7 linked regions of the Callithrix jacchus genome follow. The main gene of each other region encodes a partner of the protein of the gene in region 2 in a complex. Links are inferred from orthologs where the notes say so. Each region holds a gene or a part of one and is shown on either strand. Other genes may lie near its edges. The genes, in order: FZD3, guanine nucleotide-binding protein G(s) subunit alpha isoforms XLas, HRH2, HRH1, GPR21, SCTR and olfactory receptor 51E2.

Evidence for each region.
Region 1: the proteins of guanine nucleotide-binding protein G(s) subunit alpha isoforms XLas (region 2) and FZD3 are in contact, whole or in part, in a cryo-EM structure (PDB 8JHI), measured with the Homo sapiens proteins. The link is inferred for Callithrix jacchus from reciprocal best matches to the Homo sapiens genes GNAS and FZD3. Residues at the interface, in NP_000507.1 of Homo sapiens: Lys34, Tyr358, Gln384, His387, Leu388, Tyr391, Glu392, Leu393, Leu394; in NP_001399840.1 of Homo sapiens: Arg232, Lys318, Ser321, Glu322, Leu397, Val400, Lys408, Lys413, Leu414, Phe417.
Region 3: the proteins of guanine nucleotide-binding protein G(s) subunit alpha isoforms XLas (region 2) and HRH2 are in contact, whole or in part, in a cryo-EM structure (PDB 9IXJ), measured with the Homo sapiens proteins. The link is inferred for Callithrix jacchus from reciprocal best matches to the Homo sapiens genes GNAS and HRH2. Residues at the interface, in NP_000507.1 of Homo sapiens: Gln35, Arg38, Ala39, His41, Asp215, Lys216, Val217, Asp343, Leu346, Arg347, Thr350, Tyr358, Phe376, Arg380, Asp381, Ile383, Gln384, Arg385, His387, Leu388, Arg389, Gln390, Tyr391, Glu392, Leu393, Leu394; in XP_006714928.1 of Homo sapiens: Arg116, Ala119, Val120, Met121, Pro123, Leu124, Arg125, Tyr126, Pro127, Val128, Ile205, Val208, Ala209, Gln212, Ala213, Arg215, Ile216, Ile219, Ser220, Trp222, Lys223, Lys231, Ala232, Thr235, Leu236, Leu291, Asn292, Arg293, Asp294, Arg296.
Region 4: the proteins of guanine nucleotide-binding protein G(s) subunit alpha isoforms XLas (region 2) and HRH1 are in contact, whole or in part, in a cryo-EM structure (PDB 9LRB), measured with the Homo sapiens proteins. The link is inferred for Callithrix jacchus from reciprocal best matches to the Homo sapiens genes GNAS and HRH1. Residues at the interface, in NP_000507.1 of Homo sapiens: Gln35, Arg38, Ala39, His41, Lys216, Val217, Asn218, Phe376, Cys379, Arg380, Asp381, Ile383, Gln384, Arg385, His387, Leu388, Gln390, Tyr391, Glu392, Leu393, Leu394; in NP_000852.1 of Homo sapiens: Asp124, Arg125, Ser128, Val129, Gln130, Pro132, Leu133, Arg134, Leu136, Lys137, Arg139, Thr140, Ile213, Ala216, Val217, Gln219, His220, Cys221, His223, Lys412, Ala413, Gln416, Leu417, Cys471, Asn472.
Region 5: the proteins of guanine nucleotide-binding protein G(s) subunit alpha isoforms XLas (region 2) and GPR21 are in contact, whole or in part, in a cryo-EM structure (PDB 8HMV), measured with the Homo sapiens proteins. The link is inferred for Callithrix jacchus from reciprocal best matches to the Homo sapiens genes GNAS and GPR21. Residues at the interface, in NP_000507.1 of Homo sapiens: Gln35, Arg38, His41, Val217, Pro321, Asp323, Arg342, Asp343, Leu346, Arg347, Thr350, Tyr358, Cys359, Pro361, Phe376, Cys379, Arg380, Asp381, Ile383, Gln384, Arg385, His387, Leu388, Gln390, Tyr391, Glu392, Leu393, Leu394; in NP_005285.1 of Homo sapiens: His61, His62, Thr64, Arg127, Ala130, Ile131, Thr132, Pro134, Leu135, Thr136, Tyr137, Asn138, Thr142, Pro143, Ile214, Ile217, Cys218, His221, Thr222, Asp224, Ile225, Arg228, Gln229, Arg231, Phe232, Arg249, Tyr250, Val253, Leu254, Asn308.
Region 6: the proteins of guanine nucleotide-binding protein G(s) subunit alpha isoforms XLas (region 2) and SCTR are in contact, whole or in part, in a cryo-EM structure (PDB 6WZG), measured with the Homo sapiens proteins. The link is inferred for Callithrix jacchus from reciprocal best matches to the Homo sapiens genes GNAS and SCTR. Residues at the interface, in NP_000507.1 of Homo sapiens: Gln35, His41, Val217, Phe219, Thr350, Tyr358, Phe376, Cys379, Arg380, Asp381, Ile383, Gln384, Arg385, His387, Leu388, Gln390, Tyr391, Glu392, Leu393, Leu394; in NP_002971.2 of Homo sapiens: Arg174, His178, Tyr239, Leu240, Leu243, Leu244, Ala245, Ser247, Phe248, Ser250, Glu251, Arg252, Leu320, Lys323, Thr326, Gln327, Thr329, Arg339, Arg342, Ser343, Leu347, Tyr388, Leu391, Asn392, Gly393.
Region 7: the proteins of guanine nucleotide-binding protein G(s) subunit alpha isoforms XLas (region 2) and olfactory receptor 51E2 are in contact, whole or in part, in a cryo-EM structure (PDB 8F76), measured with the Homo sapiens proteins. The link is inferred for Callithrix jacchus from reciprocal best matches to the Homo sapiens genes GNAS and OR51E2. Residues at the interface, in NP_000507.1 of Homo sapiens: Gln31, Gln35, Arg38, His41, Asp215, Val217, Phe219, Tyr358, Phe376, Cys379, Arg380, Ile383, Gln384, Arg385, His387, Leu388, Arg389, Gln390, Tyr391, Glu392, Leu393, Leu394; in NP_110401.1 of Homo sapiens: Met58, Tyr59, Asp120, Arg121, Ala124, Ile125, Cys126, His127, Pro128, Leu129, Arg130, His131, Ala132, Leu135, Asn136, Asn137, Ile220, Thr223, Val224, Leu227, Pro228, Ser229, Glu232, Lys235, Ala236, Thr239, Cys240, Lys294, Thr295, Lys296.

Annotation. Positions count from the first base shown.
Region 1 is NC_133514.1:13,195,532-13,199,031, forward strand, and holds part of FZD3 (frizzled-3), read right to left. Parts: intron 1,299-3,500; 5' UTR 955-1,298; coding exon 766-954; intron 1-765. UniProt on the Homo sapiens protein: Receptor for Wnt proteins.
Region 2 is NC_133506.1:54,421,010-54,425,249, reverse strand, and holds the start of guanine nucleotide-binding protein G(s) subunit alpha isoforms XLas, read right to left. Parts: upstream 2,801-4,240; 5' UTR 2,270-2,800; coding exon 175-2,269; intron 1-174. UniProt on the Homo sapiens protein: Guanine nucleotide-binding proteins (G proteins) function as transducers in numerous signaling pathways controlled by G protein-coupled receptors (GPCRs).
Region 3 is NC_133503.1:68,048,740-68,052,901, reverse strand, and holds the start of HRH2 (histamine H2 receptor), read right to left. Parts: upstream 2,801-4,162; 5' UTR 2,718-2,800; intron 1-2,717. UniProt on the Homo sapiens protein: The H2 subclass of histamine receptors mediates gastric acid secretion. Also appears to regulate gastrointestinal motility and intestinal secretion. Possible role in regulating cell growth and differentiation.
Region 4 is NC_133516.1:68,377,143-68,381,115, reverse strand, and holds the start of HRH1 (histamine H1 receptor), read right to left. Parts: upstream 2,801-3,973; 5' UTR 2,748-2,800; intron 1-2,747. UniProt on the Homo sapiens protein: G-protein-coupled receptor for histamine, a biogenic amine that functions as an immune modulator and a neurotransmitter.
Region 5 is NC_133502.1:171,660,020-171,664,043, reverse strand, and holds the start of GPR21 (putative G-protein coupled receptor 21), read right to left. Parts: upstream 2,801-4,024; 5' UTR 2,727-2,800; intron 2,297-2,726; exon of another isoform or gene 2,203-2,296; 5' UTR 1,901-2,202; coding exon 851-1,900; 3' UTR 1-850. UniProt on the Homo sapiens protein: Orphan receptor.
Region 6 is NC_133507.1:104,042,776-104,046,275, reverse strand, and holds part of SCTR (secretin receptor), read left to right. Parts: intron 1-1,947; coding exon 1,948-1,989; coding exon of another isoform or gene 1,990-2,214; exon of another isoform or gene 2,215-2,355; intron 2,356-3,063; coding exon 3,064-3,213; 3' UTR 3,214-3,500.
Region 7 is NC_133511.1:70,104,858-70,108,919, forward strand, and holds olfactory receptor 51E2, read right to left. Parts: upstream 2,768-4,062; 5' UTR 2,724-2,767; coding exon 1,761-2,723; 3' UTR 501-1,760; downstream 1-500. UniProt on the Homo sapiens protein: Olfactory receptor. Activated by the odorant, beta-ionone, a synthetic terpenoid. The activity of this receptor is probably mediated by G-proteins leading to the elevation of intracellular Ca(2+), cAMP and activation of the protein kinases PKA and MAPK3/MAPK1.

The sequences.
Region 1 (3,500 bases), on a different chromosome or scaffold from region 2:
ATGTATTTTCACTTTGTGCCTTACAGAAGCCTCTAAGTTACAAGCAAAGAAACTATGCTTGTAAGAGAAAATTGATATAACTTGGCCAAAGTATACAGCTAGAAAGTGGTAGAGGTAGAATTCAAACCCAGGTTGGTCTAACTCAAAGCCTATGCTATTATTACCACTGGTTACTGCCTCCTAGTTCTGTTTTTTTTTTTTTTTTTGCTGCCTCCTAGTTCTTATCTGGTATATATACTCCTGTCCTCAATTCCAAAACCCTTATAGGCATACATACACTTAATTAAACCTATTATTAACTATATCAATTAAAGTGTTCATAGTTTCTAAATTTGAAATGGTTTCTAAACTAAAATCATTTTAAAATGCTGAAGAATTACCATTAAAAAATTCAAATAAGGCAGCAAACTTTCATAAAATTCTGTGAGATCAAGAACAGATAACTCATACGGACAAACACTTTTTCATTGCTTGGGAGTTATTCTTAAAATTTAAACTTCTTAATGGCTATTAATGTCTCATTTTCTGTTGTTTCAAATTTCTTTATAAAAGTATAATGTCTAAAATATAAAAGTAACATTCACCAAACATGAATTCTTCAATCTATTAAAGTCTGAAGCAAAACGTATAAAATTTTAAATGTTTAAGATATAATTTAAAATAGCATATTATTTTCCTGTTTGTCAAACATACTCATTAGACTGGTTGATGGGCCAACCTAAGAGTCACTTACTAAGATACGTCAAATAATAGATCAAGTCTTACCTCCATTGCTAAAGCTGCTGTCTGTTGGTCATAATGATTCAGAAGATTAGGCATGAAGGTAGTATTATAAGGCAAATCTTGGCACATCCTCAAGGTAATAGGTTCACAAGAAAATAAACTGTGCCCACCTATATGCCCCATGAGCATAGTCAAGGGCCAAAAACAGAAGACGATCCAACTCACAGCCATCCTTCCCGGATCTGAACAAGATTCGGATGATCAGGCCTACTCAATATGTATTTTAGATATTTATACACCTGCAGATCTCAGCTTGAAGGTACTTCTTCTATATCTTACTGTTAAGTTCTTCAAACAGTTAAATACTCTTCGCACCGTCAGAGGTTTGTTAGCTTGGTCTCACAAAAGGCGTTTGTTTTTGGTTTCACAACATGGGAAAATGACATCATCTTGTCTCTTCTTTTCATTTTATTACATGGGGCACATTTGGCCAACAAATCAAGTTGATCAACCACATTCCCAAACCACAGATTCCATCTTAGGAGAAGAGCTATTTCTTCCTTCGACTGAAATATCTGAAAAGTATTATTTTAAAAATGAGAGACGTTAGTCATTTCCTCTCAAAGTATTATGGACTTGACATTAAAAATCTTTGATGAGAGATATTATACTGACCTAACAGTTAACAATATATGGGTACTTTATAGACCTAATTTTTCTACTTTATCATTTATGCTATAGCTGAAATGATCCTTAAATAGTATTTAAATGCAAATTTAATTTTCTTCCCTTAGTTGCTTCTATAATACATGGTTTAACTTTTCATCTATGATGGCAATCTTTCTTTTTTTTGAGATGGAGTTTCACGCTTGTTACCCAGGGTGGAGTGCAATGGCGCGATCTCGGCTCACCACAACCTCCGCCTCCTGGGTTCAGGCAAGTCTGCCTCAGCCTCCTGAGTAGCTGGGATTACAGGCACACGCCACCATGCCCAGCTAATTTTTTGTATTTTTAGTAGAGACGGGGTTCCACCATGTTGACCAGGATGGTCTCGATCTCTTGACCTCGTGATCCACCCGCCTTGGCCTCCCAAAGTGCTGGGATTACAGGCTTGAGCCACCGCACCCAGCCGATGACAATCTTTCAACGGCCACAATATATAATTGACCCATTTTGAAAAATTCTTATGCTATTGTCCTAAATTTTATTTAAATGATATATATTATGCTTACAACCTAAATTATCGAACTTAAAATTGTATGTTTTAATCTTTAATAGTATATTTTTACATTAACTGATGTGGCAGAAGACATCCGTGAAAGTGGTCTGAAAATTAAGTCAAAAAATACAGATTCAAGCCTCTTTCTAGCTGTGTAAACATACCACTTAAGTTCTATGCACCCAGAATTTTTCTTCTTGAAAATGATTCCAATACCACCTTGCTCACAAGGATGATATGAGTGAATCATAAGATAAGGTATGCAAAAATACTTTATAAATGGTAACTCAGTATTAAACATTAGACATTTTAATCACTGAACAAGTTTATACAAATGCTACCTCTATCAACCAATACTGAACTGACATATAGAAGGTTCTAAAATATTAGGAAGTTTTCACAATATTACATTTTTTTTAAGATAATACAAAAATTTAGTTGCATAGATGGAGCACTAGACTTAGGAATATTTCATCAACAAATGGTCATTACACACAGCCATGCTGCACAGAGAAGAGAAATCATCCCTAAAAAGTCACAGCAGAAATAGGAAAAATGCCCAGTTATTAGTTCCATGGAGCTTTAGAATTTCTAACTTGTATGTACTTGCCAGGGGCAAAAATACATTTGATTCTCAATCAGAGCTGAGAGGGTATGGATGGAATGGAGGGCAGGTCTGGTATGAAAAAAACACATTCTAACCTATCACATTTTGATTTGGTTTAGTAATGATATTAACTTTGCTTTTATTTCATTTTGTTTCATATGCACTGAATATGTTTGTTGTGGTGAGCCTAGGTTGGGAAAAGATGAAAAATTCAGGTTCAGAAATTCTCAAAGATCCCGATGAATAGGACAACTCAAATACTAGCACCCATGATAACTTAGACATGAAACCTGGAACTGCTTTGACTTAAGCAGGGAAAGAAACTGTCCTTTGCACATTATCAATGATTGGGACCTCTATGTCCCAAGCTTCAGTTACCAGGCAGAAAACTATTGGGAGAAAGTAAAACAGTGGCAGAATCTTCCCCATTTCTCCCTTTAGTAGACGGTCTTGACTAACAGAAGAGAAAAAGAAAAGTCTGCGGTCCCTAGAATTAGGAAATGAGGTTAAAAGCAAACCCTGCTCAAAACGCCTTCAAACTCCCCATACGTTCTGTACCAGAAATTTCTGAAACAGCTTCTTGGCCTGCCATATTTTTTTTCTCCCCACAAATGTTGAGGTCGTCTATAGAAAACTGTTATTAACCACAGTTAAAAACATACTTATCTTAATTACCATACAGCACAGTAACAATTATGCATATCATTAAATATGTCAAATAACTGTTGAAAGTTTTATTTGACTGTAGTTTTAAAATATCCATGTAAGTTTGGTCTTTGTAGTTTATTGCTCATGTAGCATGTTCATTTACTTGCAACTAAAAAAATTAAAGGGAACATTACTCCCTGTTGAATACGGATACAGTAACACCAAGAATTTCAAAAATTTCATTTAGACTAATCTATTTTTCAAACAGGTATGGGTTTCAAATCAATGGTTCAAAGAAGACTA
Region 2 (4,240 bases):
CTCCCAGGGCAAAGTTAGGGTCCCTCCCTGGAACTTTCTAGCAGGCTCTTCCTGCCTTTGGCTGAACCCCCTCCTCCCACTGCCGAGCCCCGCGCGTCCCACCGGGCAGCCCTGCCACCCCCTCCCCGGTTCCCTGGCGGCCCTGCTGCCGACAGGCAGAGTCCGCCGCATTACCTAGAAGCAGCAGGCGGTGCGTACACATGTAGCCCATCTTTTCGTCCTGGAGTTGCTTGTCGATGAGCTTGCTGCGTTTCTTCTCTGCACGCTTCTGGGCCCGCTTCTCCAGGGCTTCTTTGCGCATCTGTCTGCGTTTCTCCGCCAGGGGTACCTTCTTGACCTTGGGGGAGCGTGAAGCTTTGGGCTGGGGACTCTCAGATCGACCGAAGCAGCCCCCGAAGGCTTGCATGAGGAAGTTGCGGAGTAAGTTGCGCCGGGGCTTTCGGCGGCGGCGGTTTCGCCGATGCTGAAACCAGCGGATGCATCCGAAGGTCCCATCGTCGGACTCGTCTCCGCTGGAGTCATCGTCGCTGCTGGCCGCCCCTTCATCGTAGTACCCGTGGCGGCCGCGGCTGCGCTCGGACTTGCCCCGCCAGGCAGACGCGCGAGTAGGCCGTGGAGTAGGCGGATCGGCAGCCTGGATTTCGGGGCTGGGGGGTCTAAGGAGATGGAGCTTGCGTCTGGCCCCGGAGGCAGGGGCTGCAGAGGCTGCCCGGGCTGCTGGGGCTGCCCGGGCGGCAGGAGCGGCTGGGGCAGCTGGGGCCCCAGCGTCAGGCGCAGCTGGGGCGACAGGGGCTGCCCCGGTCTCAGCAGCCGCAGGGGCGCCGGGAGCGTCAGGGGCTGCCCGGGAGTCAGGATCGGCTGGGGCGTCAGGGGCTGCCCCGGCATCTGGATCGGCTGGGGCGTCAGGGGCTGCCCCAGAGTCGGGATCGGCTGGGGCTGCCCCAGAGTCGGGATCGGCTGGGGCTGTCCCGGAGTCGGGATCGGCTGGGGCTTCCCGGGAGTCGGGACTGCCTGGGGCTGTCCCGGAGTCGGGATCGGCTGGGGCTGCCCGGGAGTCGGGATCGGCTGGGGCTGCAGGGGCCGCCCTGGCTGCGGGATCCGCTGAGGCTGCCCCGGCGGCAGGGGATCTGTCCCCCGGAGAGGGGACTTTTCCTCCCTCCGTGGCATCGGTGGCTGTGCCTCCTTCCATCTCGGCTGCTTCCTCCTCAACTGGGGGTCTCTCTGCTCGCTCTCTCTTATCTGGGGCTCCGGAGACCTTGATGGGCGGGCCGTCAAGCGCGATTGGGGGGCTGTCCATGTTGACGGGAGCGTCGTCGACCCCAGCGGGGGCGCTGCCAATCTCAAGTGGGGGTCCGGAGATCTCCATCGGGGGGCTGCTGCTGGTGAAGTTAGGAGGTCTGACAGCCTCTCGGGATGGGCTGCCGATGGTTCCTGGGACCCAGAGGGGAGGCGCATTCGCGGCGGGAGTGAGGCGGACCGCACTCGAGACCGCGACTGCCGCAAACTGGCCACCGCCGTCGTCGACTTGTGCGATGACTCGGGAAAGCCCCGGGGGTGGGCTGTCTTCCCCAAAGCCTTCTCCATCAAGCTCAAATGGCATAGTCTCCTCAGGGGGAGGGCTATAGCCTCCTCCGGAGCCAGCCTTTGGAGGCTTGAGGGCTTGGGGCTCCTCGGGAGGAGCTCTGGGGACCCCTGCAGCACCTGGGCCTCCTGGAGCAAGGTCTGGGACCTGTAAGAGAGGTTGACTGCAGCCTCTCTGGGCAGGCTGGTCAAATTCAAAGGGCATAGCTTCTTCTGGTGGAGGGCTGTATCCTCCCACACCTGGTCTGCCACCACCGAAGGCTCCAGGCTCCATGAGTGCTGAGCCGAAGGCCTCAAGGCCTGTCTGGGCCCCACTGGGGGATCCAGGCTGCTCCAGTGTGGGCCAGAAGCCTCCCAAGCTGGGCTGTTCGACCTCGAAGGGCATGGCTTCCTCGGGAGGTGGGCTGTAGCTTCCATGGGCTCCAGCTTCCTTGAAGGGCGGACTGAGAACCTGAAAGTTGGGCCTGGAGACCACTGGGGTTCCACAGGCCTCGCCGTCATTCTCGAGGGGGATGGGCTCGCTGTAAGGCGGTTCGGTCTCCATCTCTTCGGCTGGGCTAGGCCCAGCACCGGGGGCAGCTGCCCCTGGGGCCTCCAAAGGTGGTTGCTCGGGCTGTTCCCCGATTTCAGGGGAGATATCGTGTTGTCCTGACATATTATTGCCGTCGAGGCAGTTGCGCACGCCCATAACACGGTGGCGGCTTCTTAAAATAAGTTTGGGGCTCCGTAGGACGGAGCACCCAACCGAACTAGGGTGAAAAAAAAATTTTAGAAAAAAATCAAAGTACCAGCTGGAAAGTTCTCCAGCCTCACTTTCCAACCCTTGTGAGGTTGGGGGGTTCAGGGCCTGGAACCCTAGACCGAGGCTGAAGCAACCCAATTGTTACTGGTGGAGTCTTGGTTCCTTCCAGGCCACTTTTTATCCCCTTAGGCTGCACCTCCAGCCCCTCTTCCTTGGTCTGTCCTTATACCCTCCTCTCTTTTTCTTTCTGCTCCAGGCCAGTCCCGCCTGCTTGGATCTGACGAGCGTGCCGATTCGGTCCGAAAATCGCCAGTAGCGCTCTCTCTCTGCCACCAGAGGACGCCGGTTCCAGTGCCAAGCTGGCTCCGGCTCCAGGAGCCTGCTCCCGGCACCAGCAGCCCAGGACTTTGGGTAAGGGGGCTGATGAGCGCAGGCCTCGCAGGGATGTTTTGGCTCCTTCCACTCCTCTCTCCGACTGATTTGGAGTCTTTCTCCTCGCTTCTCCCCTGTCCAGAGAAAGATCTCCTGCGTTGCAGGACACGTGACGCAAGACGTGGGCCTCGGGACGCTGGAGTACAGGAGCTGAAACCCTCCCTCCCCAACCCAACAGACTCCTCGGGGGAGGGGGACTGAAGAAGGGTTTCATCACCCCAGGACACCCCCGAACCCCTGAGTCATAGCCCCCAGCCTCCAGGCAGCCCTGGATCTCAAGTCCCTGGTCCAGAGCGCAAGACTTTTGGTGCCTGGGAAGGGGGCGCAGGTGTGCACAGGGATGCGACAGGTGGTCGTGGGCCCACCAGAGAAGCAGAGAGAGGCGAGGGCGAGGGGATGCCGAGTGTGCGAGCGCATAATGTGTTTTTTAAATGCCTTGGGTGTACTTTTTGCTGCTTTTGCTTGTCGCTCGCTGAGTTTGGCTCCGGTAAAGCACTTTAAGAGACCCCATCCCCATCACACTCTAGGGGTCTCTACAGTAGCCCATAGCGGTGCAGGCAGGGTGCTCCGCCGTTTATGTGGATGGTGACGCAGGGGAATAAGAGGGTCTCAGGTGCGCACCGCCGCGAGCAAAGCCCCCTAGGCAGTAGCTGCGGTGGTACCGATGGAGGGGTGGGACCCGTGCTGCTCAAAGGGAACCCCACAAATTGGTCTCAGAGTTTCACAGGTCCTACTGTTCCAGGGAAGGATTAAAGGGGATTTTGGTTGCGGTTTATGGCCGGTTTGGGGTGGTTTCGGAGAATGGACTGTGCCGTGCGCACTGAACCCACTGATAAACACCGTGCCGCGCGGCAACCACAGCTGAGGTGCGTGGCTCGCAGCTTCAGGCGCCCGCCGCAGAGCCGGTCAGTCCGCTTCTCTAGCCCCACTACAGCCTGTCTCCAGCACCCTTCCAGCCCCTCTCCTCTCGCTCTGGGTATCTTAGTGTAGCCCTTTACTTTTCCACTGCAAGAGCCGGCTGAGGTAGCACTGAGCCCGCCATCCAGCCACAAACCCGGCGGTTGCCCTCGCAGCTGCGCTCCCGCTACCGTGCTGCGGTGGGCTCAGAGCCAGCGGAAGGTAAACACCCACATCACCTGGTGGCCTTGGTGCGTGCACATGCTGTGTTCTGGTCTGGGGTCTGCAGAGAGATTTGAGCCCCTGAGAAAAGCTGTTGCTAGGGGTCACGTAAAACCCGGCAGGCGCGTATCGGGTCTTTCTCAACAGTGATTAGGGGCGTATCGGGTCTGTCTCAACAGTGATTGACAGACTGTTGAGCCACGTTTAGGCACAGAGCAGCTGGGTAGGGTGTCACCTGGTCTGCAGAACCCTGGGGGAGAAGAGGCTGGATCAGTGTTACAGAGGGCGGGCTACAGCAAGCAGGGCGCATGGCGCGGGCCGCTGTATACCAGCCGCAGGCGAGCGAACCACCGCACGGGGCGATCC
Region 3 (4,162 bases), on a different chromosome or scaffold from region 2:
CGAGTAGCTGGGACTACAGACACACACCACCATGCTCAGCTAATTTTTGTATTTTTAGTAGAGATGGGGTTTCACCATGTTGGCCAGTATGGTCTCAATCTCCTGACCTTATGATCCACCTACCTCTGGTGGCTCCCAAAGTGCTGGGATTATAGACATGAGCCACCACACCCAGCCAGTACCTCTTTTTTTCAATCAGGCACCCTCCTTCTTGCTCTCAAAACTCTAAGCCAGGTAGGCCACTAATTATTAAAGAACATGTTCATTGCATAAACTCTGGAAAGTCCAGAAAAAGTAGTCAGGGAACAAATCTCCCATGACCCCACCATCTGTGGGCAAACATTGTTAACCCTCTCTAGCCTATGTCCTCCCAGTCTTTTTTCTAAGCTCTTGCCACACATTTGGGACCCTGCCATCTGTATGCCTATGCAAAACACGTTTCCATTCATTAAAAACTCTCCACTTTCGGTAGTCACGTGGCTGTTCCATAACTTTATTGATTCCCTGTTGGACATTTAGACACTCTGTGACTGTTGGTGAACATCTCTGCACATGAAAGAGGCTTTGTTCATATCTCCACCCTTTCATTTGGATGTACTCCTCTTCTTTAAAACATTTTTGGCAAAGGAACTTCTCTAGCCTGCTGGGACGCCCTTCTCCCCATCATCAGGGTTTTCTTCCTCAAATCTGAACTAAATCCTTGGGATTGGAACTTAATCCTGTTTCCCCTGCTTTGGGGTGTTGGCGGAGATGGACCACAGCTGGTCTTGTTTTTCCCATGGACTCCTCGCCTGGGAGGGTCAGTGGTTAATCATCAGCCTAGGATGGAGAGTGGGATGTGCCTATGAGCTCAGGAGAATCAGCCTAGGCTGAGATGAATACAGACAAGGTTAACTGGGACAAGGTGATGGAGGAAGCAGAGAAATTGGTGGGCTCGGGTGAGTCAGTCTGATATCTGCTTCCTATGTAGTACTGAGTAGTGACCTTCCTTCCTTCCAGACCCTTCGAGAAATCACTGGCAAGAGTGCGGCAACCCTGCTGCCAGCCTTCAGGCTCTCTTTCTCCAGTGCTTTGTAGCAGCCCTTCCCATGACACATGGAACAAGAAGCCAGAGCTGATTGTGCACGTGCCAGGTGCCAGGCCCTGTGCTCCACCTTAACTTATACAGTCATATTTTGGGGCCAGCACGATACAACCAGGAGCATCCTGGAGGCGGGCAGACTTGGATCCAGTCTCTGCACAGGCACTTCTTACCAGTATGACCACATGGCAATCATTTACCTCTGGGACCCTCAGTTTCCTCATCTGTAAATTGTGGTTTGATGGCACCAGTTTCCCAGGATTGCTGTGGTGGCTCTAGCCAGTGCCGTACTTGCAATGCACCGAGTACCAGGCCTGCAAGGAGCAGGTTCTCGAGATAGGTTATTTTCTCATGATACGGAATTCTCCTTATATCCTAGGTCAGATATAAGGAGAAAATGCCACCATCCAGACCCAGAGATGTCAAAAAATGTAATCTATCCAATTGCCTTGGATAACCTCCAGGGACAGGAAACTCATTAGTAGGTAGGAATTTATAACTTCATTTTATAAATAAGGAAACTGAGGTGCTGAGAGATTATGCCAGGGGTCTTCACAGGACAGAAACTGCCATCTGAGAGACGTCATGTCTTAGAGGAGCATCAGCCTCAGGATAGGTGTGGAGTGGAGGCTGGAGCTTCTGGGCCCCCCACATCCCCTAGGTCCTGCTTCATGCCCACCACCACCCAGCTACCACCCAGCTCCACTGATTGACCATCTCTGGCAAAGAACACAGAGGGGATCTAAAGCGTACAGATGACTTCCCAGGAGGTAACTGGTGCCAGGACTGGACCCACCTGAGCTAGGGCGTGACAGCTGCCGCTGGGGACATCACAGCACACAGGCACTTTCCTGCCCCACTTCCTTCGCCTCCCAACACCTCACGGAGGGGTGGGGGATTAGTATGGCCCTTTTCATGGAGAAGGAAACTGACTGAGGCTCTCAAGCTCAAGGTCACTGCCCAAACTGGGATTCCTATCAGAGGCCACTTGCGCGGCTCATCCCACAGGCAAATCCCCCTCCAGATGTCCTCAGCAAGGACTCCCAACCGCTGAGTGCTGCCTCCCGACGCTCCGGGCGTCGGGCAGCAGGCAGCAGCCCAGCGGGATGAAGGCAGGTCGTTCTGGTTCCCTGAGGCATAGAAGCCCCCTCCCCACCAGCCCCCCCGCCCTCCGCTGGCTTCCCTGTAGCAGAAAGTTGCTCCATGCTCGGACAGACACGTCGCCGCGAGAAAATGCCACCACCCAGACCCGGGGACAAAACGGGGAGTGCTTCGGCGCAAGTGGACTTTCCAAATCCACCCCTCTGCCTGCAGAGGAGACACAAAGCCGACCCGCGCCCCAAGCACTGCTGAGGACCGGGACTGCATCCCGAGCTCTCAACTCCCCCTTGGGGCAGGCACGACCCCCGCGGGTCACAGGAAACAGGCTGGCAGGACAGGCGGAGGCACCTGCCCAAGGTCAGGCACAGCCAGCGAGCAGTGGGGCCGGGGCTCGAACCCGGGTTCGGGGCCACGATGGCCACTGGGCATCCCGAAGCAGCGCCACGGGCGGCGCCGCAAGCTCAAGCAGGGTCTCCAAACCCTCCGGGACCCCACCCAGAGCCGAAGCCCCTCCGGGAGGCGGCGGCCGCGTTACCTGGTTCCGTTGCGGCTGGCGATGGCTCCGCACCGGGTTTGCCTTGATCCCACGCCCGCACCGGCTGCGCTCCGGGCAGGGATGGAGCAGGCGGCGCGCGCACGGCCTGCGCCCCGCGCCTCGCACCCACTTCCTCGTCTCCGCCCCCAACTCGCTCCTCCTTGCTCTCAACGCTCCTTCCCTTCCTTCCCTCTCCAAGTCTCCTGTCTCTCTCTCTCTCTCTCTCTCTCTCTCTCTCTCTCTCTCTCTCTCTCTCTCAGCGCGCACACACCCACATTTTCTCCCCCAGCCTACACCTCCACAGTCTCACCCACTTTCTGTTTTCCTTTCTCCTACACCCTCCCTCTTCATCTCGCGGACTCTGATACTTGCCCCTTCCTCTTCCTTTCTGTCACACTGCCCCCTTTTTCTCTCCCCTTTCCCCCTGGCTCCTTCCCTCTCCCCGCCCTGCTGATTGGTCAAGGGCCCGCCCTTGACCGGGCAACCGTTCTGTCTGAGCCCCAGCGTCCACCTGTGCAGATATTGGCTGAGTGGCCACAGCTGGAGGACCTGCCCTGGGTGGGCGCTAGATCCAGGAGGTCAGGTGGCATCCCTCACATTGGGCACTTAGGATCCAGGTGGAGTCAGGCTAGAAGGGGGAAATAACTAGTTTTGAGGGAAAAGCTTGAATAATTCTGGAATCTGAAATCTAGAAACACAAATGCAGAAATTAATTAGTCCAGGGGTTGTTAATTACCACAAAATAAATCAGCAAAACTTCAAAAACCCTAGGGCTTTGTTTTGATTGAAGGAAGGGATGAAGAGAGAGAGAGAAGTAAGGAAGTAGGCTTTCGGAAAAGGGATTTTGGGGATAGGGAGAATAACGCCCACCTTCCAGATGAGAAAATGAAGGCTCAGCTGGGAAAACCCATCTCTTAAATATCAAGATATCAAGGCCACTGTGTTAACCACGCAGATCTCCGTGGAGGGAGCCTGGGTGGGCAGGATGGTGAGATTTTCGCCAGGCCTGGACAGCAGCCCAGTGCAGGGGAGGCAGGCGGTCAGCTGGGCTGCCCTGGTTTGCTTGGGGAACCTGGTGTGTGGAGGGGGATTTCCATGGAAGCTTGGCAAAGGATAGCGAAAGCGAGGAGGGTTCAGCTAGCATGCATTTCAGACACATGCCACCGCTGATTGATGCACCACCTCAAGCCATTCTGTCACCATGGACCAGCCCTGTGCCAGGGGCTGCAATGCAGAAGATGGTCCCCTAGCTCTCAGTTCACAGCTTCTGGAGAGGCTATTATTGCACTGTGCATCCAAGTCATTGTCGTCTTGGAATGACATGAGTCTCCAAACTGGTCTTCTGGATGTCTCTCTTGCTCACCTGCAATTCACAAAGCAGCTCAGATAATCTCTGAAAAGTGTAAATCAGATCATGCCTTTCTACTTCCCTGCTTCAAGACCTT
Region 4 (3,973 bases), on a different chromosome or scaffold from region 2:
CTTTTCTCCACATTTCCAACCTAACATTAATCTGGATAAATAGATACTGGCAAATAGAACTAATGGCATTTTGCAGATGAGGAAACCAAAGCCCATAGTCACTCGGTTCTAAGGGCCAGAGCTCAGGTTCCACCGTAAGCTTTCTGTCCCTCTAGAAAACATCTGATTGAAAACTGTCCCAAGCCATGCTCCTCGGAACCAAGCCAAAGTTCAAGCTGCACTGTGCAGCAGCAATATCAGCCACACAAGTGACACTCGTGACAATGCCCAACGCCTGCTGAGTGCCTAGCAGAGTGTCAGAAGTTTATATGGGTCCACACTAAGACTTCAAGTTTCAGGCTATTTAAAGCTTGAGACTACAGTAAGACTTCGGGGGCACACACTCTATCTAATCAGACTTACTTTCACTTTACAGATGAGAAGGCAAGAGGCCTGCAGAGGCTGGGCAATCTGCAGGGGGCAGAGCCAGGATACAGAGCTGGACTGTTTGACCTTGATAGAGACAATAATAACAACTGACTCTTAACACTGACACGTATTACATGGCACCACTCAAGTGCTTTTTGCACATCAACACACCGAATTCTCTTACAACCCAGGGAGGAAGGTGCCAGGAATACCCCCATTCTAAAAACAGAGAAACTAAGGAACAGAGCCATGTAGCAACTTGACCAAGGCCACAAAACTCACAAGCAACAGTCCTGGGATTTGAATCCAGGCAGGTGAGCTTCAGAATCCCACACTCTTGATGTCTTTGCTATGTGTTTTCTGCTAAGGAAAAGCCAGACACTCCATTGTGAAGAGGAAAGTGCAAACACAGAATTCAGAGAGCTTAAGAGGAAGAGACTCATGTACAAGTTCCTCCTCCCTTAGACCCTCAGCTGAGTGCTAGGAAGGACAACTCCCAGCCCAGCATTGGCCAAGCTACTCTGGGGTGCAGGGTCTCTTGGCAGGCAACTCCGGCCTCCACCCAGCTCTGAAATCATGAACAGGTGGCACCTGCCCATCTCCTGCCTCCACGGGATTCTCTGTCACATTTGAAAACAAAATCAATGCTAGATATCCCCTGCCCTTCTCCATAGACTCTCCCCAGGAGAAATGCCTGAATCACACTGGGGATTTACATGGGGCTGTCCGGGATTCCTGTGAACAGCAGACCTGCTGCTTGGCTTCCCTCTATTCACCTCTGCTGCTGCCAGCCACAAGCACAGAAGGACCTAAGGTCCCACCTGCCACCTGAGTTTCATTCATAATCTAGAGGGAGTCAGGCAAGATGGGTGTTCAAACTCCAACTCTGCCATGGGCCAGCTGGGCAATCTTAAGCAAGCCACTTAACCTCTCTGAGCCTCAGTAGACTATCTGTTCAGTAATAGTAATTACCTCGCAAGAATGGTGTGAGTATTAAGTGAAATAATGCATAATGATGCTCTCATGTGTCCGCCCTCCCTCTCTTCCAGTCCCTGCTGGTTTTTGGCTGTCTCCAAAGACCCTTCTTATAAGACCCTCAATTCCCCTCTTCTTCATGTTCCAGGGACACAGTGTGTCTGTGCTCCTGTCACTAGTTTCTGGCCCCTCAATCATGAAATGTGATCTTCAGGCACCTTCCAGCCTGGGAACCTTGCTCACTGGGACTTCCAGGCTGCCCCCTCCTGTCTGCTCCGGTCTGAGGTGGGAGCCCTCTGCTGGAGGATGGCTACTCTGCCTGGAACATCTCTGCATGACCAGCTGCCAGGCAAGCGGACATCTCGGAGGGATCAGGGATTTAGGAGGGGAGGAGTGGGATCTTCATGGAGGACTGGGGGTTAGGGGGTCGGGCAACAGAGAGGGAGAGGTGGCTTCCTTGAGGAGCTGCTGTACTCTGGCTCCTGCTCCTGGCTTCCTGGCCTCCTTCCAGAAGAACTGAGAGCAACTTCCAGAATCTGATCTCTAAAAGAGCAGCTCCGGTGCGCTTCTGTCACCGGAATCCACTCCCTGGCCATAATATCCACTCATTTTCCCAAAGCATCCTCTTTCGAGTACAATGAGGAGGAGGTGATCCGCCTCTTCCTCCACACCCCCAGTTGCCACCAAACTGCAGGAGGAGGGTGGGTGGTGGTCGGGACACCCCCCACCTCCGACTCCAGGTGACACTGAGCCTGGGGCTCACCCCAGTGTAGTCAAGTGATTTGGGCCAGGATGACTCCGATCAAAACCCTGGCTCTCTCCCTTTAAGCAGCTGGTGCTGCTGGGCACAACTTTGCCTCCCCGAGCCTCACTTTCCTCCTCTGTAACATTAGTATAACAATACCCGGTTCATCGAGTTACAAGGAGAATTGCAACAGATAATGTATGCCCAAAGCCTTGCACAGAGAACGCTCTCAACCGATGGGCTGGCACTAGGGTTAACAGCAAACTCAGACCCTGGGGAGGCTCAAAGAAGACAAGGCTCCTTCTCTGGGCGCTGGAGCCAAAGACTGACGCTCAGGGCGCGCACCCTGCCCAAGCCTGGGGAAACTAAAGGTGTCTGCCTGTCGAGTGCTGGGGCCACAATGCGGAGAGGGGAGCGGTGCCACCGAGCGAACCGCGCTCCGCCACCCTACCCAGGCCACCCGTGTCGCGAGGGTACCCAAGCGCCCATCTCAAACCGCCGGCTCTCGGGGTCCCGGCCACCCGGCAGGGATATCCGGATCCCAGCCCAGCCAGCGCGCTGCCTCGTTTCGCTGCGGCGGCCCCGCTCCCGCCCAAGCCGGTGCCCCGCTGCGACTCACCGGCGCTGGCTCCCGGGAAAGTTTGGTGGTGCGGCGGCCAGGCTGCTCGGTGTGCCTCGGGGGCGGCGGCGGGGGCGCAGGGGAGAGCTCGGGGAGGCGGGGCGCAGGAGGAGGAGCCGCGCCTAGGGGCCCACCCGCAAGCAGCGGGGAAGGCGGGGACCCGGGACCTGAGGGCCTGCAGCGTCCCCGCACCCGGCTCCACGCGCCCAGGGCCGCCCCCGCAGAGGGTGGGAACGCGAGGGGCGCGCCTCTCGCTCGGACACCCTCTCCAGGCTTTCGCCCCAGGTTTGGAGCTGCTCCTGCTGGGTACCCGGGCGCGGATCTGCGCGGTGGATGGCTCTGTGGGTTTGGAAAGACAGGTGGCAGAAGGGTCAGAACCTTGGTGCGACAACTCCATCCCCACCCACGCACTTGCAGGCACACAAAACGACAGACACAGATAAATCAAGACAAAGAGGCAGAGATGGAAATAGAGATGAAACAATTGTTGGCAGATTCAATCACAGGTAGACTGAAAAAAACAGATAGTGATACCCGTGCCCCTCCCTCATTCCTGCTAGGGGCGCCAAAATGGAAAAAGGCAAAGTCAGACAAAGGTGGAACAAGATTGACAGATAGGGACCCTACCCCTAGAGGTTTCGTGGGGAACTAAGGAGACCCAGGGTCTGTAACGTCACACTTCTCTTCTATTTATCCCTAGCCTGTCCTGATGAATGGGTCCGCCTTTCAAAATAGGTTGTGTTTTTTGTTTTTTTGTTTTTTGTTTTTGCGACAAAGTTTCACTCTTGTTACCCAGGCTGGAGTGCAATGGCGCGATCTCGGCTCACGGCAACCTCCGCCTCCTGGGTTCAGGCAATTCTCCTGCCCCAGCCTCCCGAGTAGCTGGGATTACAGGCACGCGCCACCATGCCCAGATAATTTTTTTTGTATTTTTAGTAGAGACAGGGTTTCACCATGTTGACCAGGATGGTCTCGATCTCTTGACCTCGTGATCCACCCGCCTTGGCCTCCCAAAGTGCTGGGATTACAGGCGTGAGCCACCACACCCGGCCAATAGGCTGTGTTTTAATTAGCATCCTGTGCCATCTTGGGCAGCGAGGTGAGGGGAGTGGTGGGGTTAGGGTGAGGCCCCTCGGCAAGTCCCAGGGAACCTCTGTCCCTGGCTCTGGGAGCCTGAGGATTCTTCCTGGCTGTCTTCCTTTCCAGAACTGGGAGAGAGAGGTCGA
Region 5 (4,024 bases), on a different chromosome or scaffold from region 2:
TATAGTCACCAGTATAAAATCGACAGCCAACAGCCTATCAATTGCTTTTTAGCTTATTTAAACACATTTTGCTATAAAAGAGAAATCTAACAATTCAGATATTCTAAATATAGACATAACACAAAGGCATGGGCAAAAATACTACAAACATGATCACTTCTATGCACACTTATTTTTAGATCTCTGTGAAGCATGGCACAAAAAATAGCTCAGTTTTTCATAAACTGTATAAGTTGATTGTACTTTTGCTTCATGGTTCACTGTAGAATTCTAAAATTAATGTTTATATGTTCACATTATTCACCCTACTGAGAATTCTCTCAAGAGAATAAAATATAGAACATTTGGCTTTCTAAATGACAGTGTTGAAACTTGCAGTGTAGTTATACTTTAGTATACATAAAAAGTAATTTCTAAAACTTCTTAATTTATGTTTTACTACTCCCTGTTAGAAGAAATCAATTGCACATGAAGCCCAAATAGCTGGAAAGAACCCAGAAAGTGACAAGAAAATGATGACTTTTTAAAATGCTGATGCTTTTCACACCCAGGTTCAGTCATGCCAGCTGGAGAGAGGTGTTAGATATGGCTTTATTCATTTTAAATCTGAGAACTGTAGTCATTTCCAAAACATTTCAAAAATTGGAACCAAGAGCAATTTGTCTTCATGATCTTGAGTCTTCAAAAGCACTTTTGAAAACCATTTCTACAAACTTAGAAGGTATCCATACAAACCATTTGTATGCTATTGCTTAGAGTCAAAGTATTCTGTCCCAGATTTTCTAGTGAATTAGAAATACTTAGAGATAAAACACATACATACACAGGGGAACTCCGTATCTGAGCCACTTCAGACATGACATCCATTAAGAGGGCCTTTGCTTCTAACCGTGTAAGGGTCGTTGGCTGTGGTCTGACTTGCACAAGAAGTACACATGGCCCCTGAGAGGCGCTTTAGTCCTCTTTGGAATACACTGTTGGAGAGACTATAAATGACACAGTTGCAGAAACTGTTACTAATAGCAAGCCAGGTGGTCAAGAAGGATGCGAAGCGATTGCTGTGGCCAGTGGAGCTTTCCAACAAGAAGTAGATGATATATGGCAACCAGAGGATGTAAAATACACTAGTGATTCGGAATAGGACCATGGCATAGCGCTTATCAGGACAGGCCTGCACTTCCCCAGTCTCCCCACTCTGGCTGCTGAAGCGGGCTTGCCTTTTGCTGATTTCCTCTGTGTGCTGTTGGCAGATGCGGAAGATGTTGAAATAGGTGAAGCAGACAATAAGGGCTGCTGGGGCATATAACATCATCACGATGAACAGGGTGAAGTAGGAGTCGGTGTGCCAGGACTCTGCACACCACTGAAACACATCTCCATGATATCCAGGTTTGCCCCAGTGGAAAAAGGAAGGCAGGAAGACCAGGGTCGAGTACAGCCAAATCAGGAATATACACAGGCGTAGTCTCCAGGGTGTAACCAGGGTATTATAGGTTAAAGGTTTAGTAATGGCAATGTATCTATCAATGCTGATACAAGCCAGAGAAGTCATGGAGACGCTCTTCAGAACTGATACTACGAAACCAAATATCTGGCAAGTCAAGGACTCCTCTACTGGAAGGGGGTGATGGAGGAGTGATAAAGAAGGGACCAGGCAGCTCATCCCAACAAAAAGGTCAGCATATGCCATAGTCTGGATAAAATAACTTGTGGTGTGATGGTTCAACAAAGGTGCACAGTGAAATACAAAAATCACAATGATGTTGCCAGAAATAATCAATACAGTTAGAAAGACAATAATCAATACTTCCAAAAGGCAAAAATTGACAGTTTCCAAATAGCCAAATGCCAAGAGGCAAAAAAGGTGGCTGCTCTGATTACCATCCAAGGTGGAGTTCATCTTGAGCTCTGGAGTGATCTGTCACTTCATGCTGCCGCTTGGCTGCTTCCAACAGTTCAAAGGAGCAGCCGCTGTCATTGCGGTCAGCTTTGCATGTATGTAATAATGCCAGAGGAGCCTTAGTCCCCAAGCTCCTGATGCTGCTGCTGTGGTGCATTGCCTGCAGTGCAATTCCCCTTTAAATCCTTCTTGGAATAAGGAGAGCCAGCAGCAGTTGTCTGGCCAGTTCCAAACGCGGCCATAATGCCAAGTTCATCATACACATAGCACCAGGGGAGTAAGGCAAACTCTGGGGACAACGTCTTCAGGCCAAGTGAGGGTAGGGGGAAAGGGCAGAAGAGAAGGGAAGAAGATTAGGAGCTTCAGCAGGAGTTGTAATGAGTCTCCTCTGAACAGCTGATAGAAGAAAAGGAGAGAGCATTTTACATTTCACATCCAATGCCCTAATCAAAGAACCTGGCTAGCTCAGGCTGGCATCATCCCTCCCACTCCACCCCTACCGGCACCACTATTCATGGCTACCCACAATAGCACCCCATATAACTGATCCGTACGGTATAGAGTAGCAGCAGCAACATCAAGCTTTCAAGATCAGCATAAAACAAAATGAATCACGGTTAGATTGATTTACCCCCATTTCCTTTCATTTGAGACATGGGAGAGAAAAGAAATTTGCTAGCAACATTTATGAAAATCTTTCACTACACTTATCACTAATAAAATTAGCCAAGATAATTTATTTTCTTCACTGATTCCAATATAATATTTTGCCTCTTTGAAAACATTTCAACAGAATTTACTGTTTAGTTCAATTTCAGAATGTTACCTGTAATTCTGCATGCTGCAATCCAAACAAAAGCCACAATACATCCTTAACAGAAAGCCTTGCAGAGCAGGAATGTGCTTCAACCCTGCCTACTGCAGAACTGAGACACAGAGGGAGGGGATAAAGGAGTAGGAGGGGAAACAGGGAGAAGAGGGGGCTTGGAAAAAGGAAGAAAGGGGGAGGGGAAAGAAAACGCCTGTACACGCACACACACTGGCATCTTTAGCAACTAATTGGAATTCATCGTCAAAGAGGTGCCCCCTGATTTCCAGACTGCGCAGTGTGGGAATAGCTTGGTACGCCTATAGTATATCATTTGAAAGCTGTTTCCTCGTCTGTTTGGAATCCCTCTTTTAGTAGATAAGCAGAATTCAGGCTGCTAGCAAGGAGAAGGGGTAGTAACAGAACAGGGTGTCAGTGTCAGTAATTAGACTGAAACACACTGCTAGAGGGGTACTTCCTATTTTCTTACGGCATTTTCCCAAAGAACAAAGAGCAATATTAAAGAAAGGAAGCATGTTAACTTCCTTTAAGTGTATGGCGTATGGCAACTGAGAAACATAATTCAGCTGTACAAGAAGTTCTAGCTAGAAGGCTATTCATTAATTTTGTCTCTCATGATTCACTGAATATTGGCCAAGAAACTTTAAAATCACTTTTCAAGAGAAAAATAAAGTATCTCCTATTCTGAATACTACAGAAATAGCACAGAGAAATTACATCGTTCCTGTATTTGACACTACCCTATAGTTTTGAGACGCTGTTTCTTGCTTCGATTTTGCTGAGCAGTATACAAGAATATAAATAAAAGACAAAAAAGAAAATGTACCTTCTTCTATTCAGGCATGAATATTACAGGAAGTTTCATGGCACAAATAAGCCTTTGTATCTTAGAATATACAATCTTGTTTCTGCCTACTTAAAACAATGCAAACTGGGATTAGATTGTGGTTTTCCTGGTAATGTCATAAATGTTGACAATTTTCAGCTAATAGAATGCTATGAAAATGTGTAATTTTAGTATCTTTTCCTCCAGGGATCTCTGAGACAATAAACAAATGTTGGTGTTTGAAAGCATTCCAAAAGGTATGCACCTGAGCAAAAACATGTGATCCAACTTTCGTTTTTACTCATTTTATACACATTTTCTTATTACAGATAAATGGGCACCCATAATCAGAATGCAATGAATTACATTTTAAATCCGAAGCAGCAGCAGCTGTCTGGCCAGTCCCAGATGCAGCCATGATGCCAAAATAAAAACCTACTTAAGCATAAGCCTGATAGTAATATTTGAC
Region 6 (3,500 bases), on a different chromosome or scaffold from region 2:
TGTTTCATCTCTGTCCCTACGTACTATCCCCATCTTTTTAAGTAAATTCAAGACATCATGTTGTTTGATCTGCAAACACTTTAGTATGTATTTCTAAAAGGCAGGGGCTTAAAGAACACACACAACTAATAACACAATCTCTGTCGTACACTCTTTTTTTTTGAGACAGAGTCTCATTCTGTAACCCAGGCTGGAGTGCAGTGGCGCAATCTCGGTTCATGGCAACCTTCACATCCCGGGTTCAAGCAATTCTCCTGCCTCAGCCACCTAAGTAGCTGGGATTACAGGCATGTGCCACGACACTCAGCTAATTTTTGTATTTTTAATAGAGACGGGGGTTTCACCATATTGGTCAGGCTGGTCTTGAACTCATTGACCTCGTGATCTACCTGCTTCAGCTTCCCAAAGTGCTGGGATTATAGGCGTGAGCCACTATGCCTGACCTTCATATACTCTTTAAAAATGTATTTAGCCTTTCTGATTGTATAAATAATGCTTGCTTATTGTGACTAATTTGGGAAATAAGGAAAAGTTAAAAAAAAAAAAAGAAAAACAAGAAGAAAAAAATCTATAATCTCATAACCCAGAAATAACCTCTGTTGGTGTTTACTTCTGTCTCTTTTCTGTCCACAAAGACACACATACACACACACACACACACCCATAACTGGGGTCACGATGTGTATGGTTTTGTAACCTGCTTGTTTTGTTTAATTCTCTATCATGCCCATCATGAACATTTCTTTATGTCATTAAAATTCTTCAAAGTCTTCATTCTTAATGATCGCAGAATCACTGTGGAAATTAGTAAACTTGCTGTCTTGTGTGAGGCCTGCCCTATATACACTGTAGCACAGCTAATTCCCTCCCCGAACAGTGAAAAATGTCCTTGGACCCCAAGGCAGGGGAAGCCAGGCAACTGCAGCCCATGTGGTGGGCAGCACCCTCGGCCTGCTCGTGGCTCTGGGCCAAGCACACAGAGCTCCAGGCGTGCCTAAACCTCTTCGTGCCTCAGTTTCCCTGCGTGTAAGGTGGAGATCTTCCCACTTGCCTTGAAAGGCTTTGGCAAGGATTAAATGAAGCCCCTGGGACCAAGAGTCCTACAATTACTCAGGCCTAGCTGTGCTCCAAGTCTGTTTTGTTTCAAAGCCTGTCTTGAAGTGCCTTTTACTCTCTTTGACAGTAGTTTCCAGATCATGATGCCCGTTTATTGAAACTATCTGGGGATCTATAAAAGCTGCGGATACCCCCAGATATTGGGAACTGGGGACTGCAACCTGGACCAAAGGTCTCAGGTGATTCAAATGTGCGACAAAACTTGGAAACGAATGCCCTGAGTGTTTTTGCCCCTCAAATAGTCCCCAGTCTATGCAGCGGTCATTGATACCTGAAATTCTAAAGCAAACCCCTTCAGTTTTGCCACCAACTTTTGTTAAAATGCCGATATCCCTGAGAAGTTGTACAGATTAAGCCCACCAATGAGCTGATGAAAGACAGGTGGGGAAGTGAGCCTGCAGCTGGTGATTAAGAGACCTGGGGGCCAGGCGCGGTGACTCACACCTGTAATCCCAATACTTTGGGAGGCTGAGGCGGGTGTATCACCTGAGGTTGGGAGTTCGAGACCAGCCTGACCAACATGGAGAAACCCCATCTCTACTAAAAATACAAAATTAGCTGGACATGGTGGCCCATGCCTGTAATCCCAGCCTCTTGGGAGACTGAGGCAGGAGAATCACTTGAACCCCGGAGGCAGAGCTTGCTGTGAGCCAAGATTGCCTCATTGTGCTCCAGCCGGGGCAACAAGAGGGAAACTCCATCTCAAAAAAGAAAAAAAAAAAAGAGAGAGAGAAAGAGACCTGGGGAGGGCGCAGCTGGCTAGCTGGCTCAGGCCAGGTGGGTAGGGGCTGAGCACCTGCAGTAACCCTGTTGCCTCTATTCCTCTGGCAGGGACTGGTGGTGGCTGTCCTCTACTGCTTCCTCAACGGGGAGGTGAGTGGTCTTGGGTCACTCAGGTACCCCGGAGAGCTCCTAGCCATTGGGTTCCAGGTCAGAAGGAGCTACCTGGAGGGGTGGTGGGAAGGGGGATGGAAAGGGTTGGAGGGAATCCTGGGTCTGGTGGCGAGGGGCTCGGCCAGTTCTTTTAGGAGTCTGAGCTTGCTTAATGGGAGGAACAGAATCACCTGGAGGGATGTTAAAACCATGGCTGGACCCTGATCCCGGTTTCTCATTCCACAAAAATAAATTCTGTAGGTCTGGGGTGGGGTCTGGGAAAGTGTTTTTTAACAAGCACTCCTGGTGCCGGTGTTTATCTGTTCAGAAAATGCAGGAAGAAAGTTGGGCAGATCCCAGGTTCCTGACTGCCCTGCTGCTTGTTCAATGGGCGATCTCATCACTGCCCTGCTCTGGGCCTCAGTCTTCCCACGTGCAAAGTGGGTGACTCAGAGGAACTGTCTGCAGCTCAGTCCTTAGGGATCTTCAGATGAGCATGGACTCCTTGGGAGACTGCATACTCTAAGGACTCAAGCCTCGCATAGAGCATTTGGGTCAGGACCCTGGCTCTGGGCATACAGAGCTACGTAGTCAACATGAGCTAGGCCTTTCTGTGACTACCGACCATCTATCTGGTTTGCTGCACTTGAATGGGAATGACCTTTGATGTTTCCCAAGAATCAAATATCAAGCCTAGCCTCAAAGGTTCAGCTGCTCCAGCTGGGAATTGTGAAGTAAATTTACAAAGAGCAACTCCCTGGGTCCCAGATGAATTCTGAGCTTGGGTGGCTTCATGGGAATAAGTATCCAGTTGTCTCAGGTGCACAGTCCTTTCTTTGGGACATAATGTAATGAGATTGCAGGTGCATATGCCCAGGAGAGAGGGGACCCTCAGTAACTACTGGACATTGGGGCTGAAAACGGTCAATCTGAGTAGCCTGCAGGCTAGGGGACAGGTCAGCTGGGCAGGAGCAGCAGGGCCTGTGTGGAGTCCCCAGGGGAGTGAGTTGGGTTCCAGGCACAGAACTGTCCTCTCCTCCTGGGCTGATGGCTGGTCTCCGGTCTCCCGGGCAGGTGCAGCTGGAGGTTCAGAAGAAATGGCAGCAGTGGCACCTCCGTGAGTTCACAATGCATCCCGTGGCCCTAAACTCTTCCTTCAGCAACAGCACCAAGGCCAGCCACTTGGAGCAGAGCCAGGGTACCTGCAGGACCAGCATGATCTGAGAGGCTGGAGCAGAGCCACCCATGGACAGAGACCAAGATGGGTCCTGAGAAGGCTGGACACTACTGCAGGACAGCCTGTTTTCCCAGAAGACACCCTATGTCCTCCTTCAGCTGAAAATGCCCCTCCTCAGGCCCTGGACCCCTCAGAAGGGACGTGGGGCACTGTGGGGCAGGATAAGGCCTGAGATTTGGTTTGTTTGCTCTTATGGGAAGAGTAGTTCAGGGGTCCCAGAAAGGGACAGGGAAATAAGTGGTGCCTGGGACAAGATTTGGTCTATATTTGTCCA
Region 7 (4,062 bases), on a different chromosome or scaffold from region 2:
ACCCATATCTTCCATTGTGTTTCCTCCCCTTAGTCCTGGCCTACACACATTGACTAACTGCATGACTTTGGAAGCCACTTTACTGCCTCTGAACAATGAAGCACAGTTTAGTGCTCACATATCTATATGCTAGCAGAGCCCATCATCAGTAGACATCAAGTACCTGTGGTTCCCTTCTCCTAAGAGAGCCTATGGTATAGAGTCTCCCTTGTGGTTTATCTACCCAAGTCCAGAACCCAAAACCTGTTTAGTGAAGCTACAGAAGGAACATATAGGCCCAACGATTGTGTTAAGATTTCAGCCGCTCACTGGATCTACTTTACAGTACAGTGGGAATATCCTACCTTGAAAAAAGATGCATTCAGCATCCTTACCACTGTGTGAACGATTCCAGTCAGGATTCCTGCACTGGTGAGAAAGAAGACTAGGAAATCTCTCACATCTCCAATTCTGATTTATAGGATTCTATAAATGTAAAATCAATAGGTATAACACTCAGCAAAACTTAAAATAAAATTTTATTTTATCTCATACTTAAGTTCAGACAATAGCATGTGGTGTACATTCAAAATTTTTGACAGGCACAGAGCACATTAAAAAAATGAAGACATGATCAAGGATCAGATATACCACAACATTCTCCCTGAATCTGGAAAGAAGCAAGCAATAAGACCATGAAAGGTGGCTGTCATACAGGAAGAGTATTCTAGATTTGTTGTCCACAGCTAGGGCAGGGTTATCTCTCACCACAAGTACAGAGCCATTGGTGTTAGCGTATAGCAGAGAGAAAACAGAGGATTTGTACAGCTGAGGAAATAAATGGCAGATGTTACACAGGAAGCAATATAATATGGTAGTTAAGTAACTGTATTCAATTATCCAATTTAATTTTAAACCTTGGCACAATGCCCACAAGCTGTGTGACTTTAGTTCCCTTGCTAATATAAACTTAATTTCTCTCAATTATAATAAAGGGACTCAAATGGTACCTACTCCATAAAATTAGGAAGAGCACATAAAACCCATAAAGCACTTATCATAGTGCCCAGAACATTGTAAGTGCACATGATATATTCATAGGCATTATTATTCAGGGCTTTATCAATTCCCAGATAATGCATAATAACAGTAGAGATTGTGACAAGCCCTGGCTTCCATAAATTGGTCAGCTTAATTTTTGCTATTTCATTTGATATGAAACTATATTTTATGCTTTGAGACAGGGTCTTGCTCTGCTGCTCAGGCTGAAGTGTAATGATGTGATTCTGGCTCACTGTAACCTCAAACTCCTGGACTCAAGTGATTCTCCCACCTCAGTCTCCTGGGCAGTGGGGGCTACAGTTGCATGCCACCATGCCCAGCTATTATATTTCCTCTTTAAAAAGTTGTACATGACAGTTAACCAATACTTTCATAATAAAAAAATTGAAAGTAGAGACAACACTAAATCATTAGTAATCTGAGCACATTTCCTCCAAGGCATATGCTATTTTTCAACTTGGTTTCAATCAAGTATCTTTATTGTTTTTCTTAACATTATAAGCTTGTTTGGTTTTATAGTTCTCATTAAATCACATAATACTCCATTAATATGTATTATTCCACATAATAGTCTTCTAAGTAGATGGATCATATTTTTGTTGATTATTCCATCCAGAGAAAAGCACTCATGTGCTTGTGGGCAACTGGAACTAAGCTAGTGTTATAAATAATTATGTTTGTCAAGCCATTGAAGACAAGGGGAAGTGTAACGTTAAGGGTCACTTGCCTCCCACAGCCTGAAGGTCCTTGTCACAGCTGATCTTGAACATAGCCAGCACCCGCGTTCTGATATGTTTGGTTTTGGCGCCGTAGATGATGGGATTGATGACAGGAGGCAGCAGCAGGTAGATGTCACCCATGACAACACGCACAATGGGATGAAGGCTGTTTCCAAAGCGGTGTACCACTGAGAGGCCAATAAGTGGCACATAGAAGGCAAGTACCACACCAATGTGTGACACACATGTCCCAAAGGCCTTGGCCCGCTCTGACTTGGAAGGCAGTTGTAGCACTGTCCGTATTATCAGAAAATAGGATAAGGAGATGAACATTACATCCACGCCCATGACCAGCAGAATGGCAGTAAGACCATATACCACATTGGGTAATGTGTCTGCATAGGCCAACTTCATCACATCCTGGTGCACACAATAGGAGTGTGAGAGCACATTGGAGTGGCAGAAGGCCAGTCTCTTGATGAGCAGAGGCAATGGGAAAAAAAAGAGGGATCCGCGGACCACAGCCACGATGCCAATCTGGGCTGTTACTGTATTGTTGAACACGGCAGCATGGCGCAGTGGGTGGCAGATGGCCACATAACGGTCAAAGGCCATGGCCAGTAGGATGGTGGATTCAATGGCTGAGAGGGCATGAATAAAGAACATCTGGGTAAGGCAGGCCTCATAGCTAATCTCTCGGGAATCAAACCAGAAAAGGGCAAGTATCTTAGGCATGGTGGATGTGGATAAGGCCAGGTCAATGGCTGCCAGCATGCAGAGAAAGAGGTACATTGGAGTGTGCAGGCTGCGTTCCGTTCTTACAATGAAGACCACGATGCAATTTCCAAATACTGCCATGACATACATAGAAAGGAGGGGGAAGCCAAACCAGAAATGGGCTTCCTCTAATCCTGGGATACCAATAAGCACAAAAGTGGCATGTGTAAAGTTGCAGGAACTCATAGCTGGAACTGAGGAGAGGTGACTGGAGAGGGTGAGGTTGCACCGGCGGTCTGCAGGGACATAGAGCACAATCAGAGAATGCCCTGGAATCTTGAAACTGACATCCTACCCCTTTTGTCTCCTCCCACCCCAACTTAGGGTCTTTCATAAGCCCTGAAGCCCTCTTCCAAAGCGGGGACTGTGACAGCTCAAATTCATTTATGCGTCACTACTTTCAAGGTTTATTTAAAATTTTAAAAGGCAACCATGAGAGAGCAATCCTTTTTCCAAAATGTAGCCTTCTCAAATTCCCTCAGATACTTCCTGCTGGTCTATAGCTTTGGTGGCCCTTTTATTCTGATAGGTGTTAAGAGATACAGTTTTGGAAGCTCCTTCCAGATAAGGCTGCCTTTCTTATGTTACTTTCCGCACATTCCTCCCTCCCTCCCTCCCTCCCTCCTCCCCCCTCCCCCTCCCCCTCCCTCCCTCCTCCCCTCCCCCCTTTCCTTCCTCCCTCCCTCCCTCCCTCCCTTCCTTTCTTCCTTCCTTCCGGGAGAGGCATGATCACAGAGGAATCTTCCTATTTAGACTTGAAACATGAGTTGAAATTAGACAGAGAGTGGAATAATGGGTCTTCCAAGGCAGTGAGGATAGGAGATAACTTTGCAACTTTCAGGATTCCCAGTCCTCAATTCTAAGGTCAGCCAGAGGAATAAGATGCACAGCAATGGCATTGTTTTTTAAAACTTAAAAGAATATAAATAAACAAAAACCAAGAAAAATAATTCCAAAAGTCAATCTTTTTAGGATTAAAGGAAACTCATCTGTGGTCATAAAATCAAAAGTAGTGGTTCCCTCCAATGACTTCTTCATAGACAAAGGTGCTGGCAGGATGGCAGGACACAGGTGAGTACCTCCACACCCAAAAGCTTCCTACAAGGCCATTTGAATTGCATCCAAGGATAGTTTGAGTTGAGTCCTTACTTTGGGAGAAGTATTATTAATTTTACAATGATATTTTTAGAGCCTTGTCTTTCCTGAAACTTGTGCCAGTAAGTCATTCATCTCAGGGGGAGACATTTCTTTTTTAGAAGCCCAGTGTTTCTTTACCTCAACTCCGTACCCTCACCCACACACCTGGGCTCTGACTTCATGAAACTTCTTCTCTGCTAGGTTTCCTAGGTGACCTAATCTTTAGAGATAATTTTCTCTAAAAATCCAAAGCCTTGGCTGCAAGAAGCAGAGGCTCTAACTCTTGGAAATAAACTATGCAGGTGTCTTCATTGATTATCTGTCACTGAAACAGGTTAACCTGCTTATATTGCAACCCCCCACCCCAGAATTCTTCACTCATCATCCG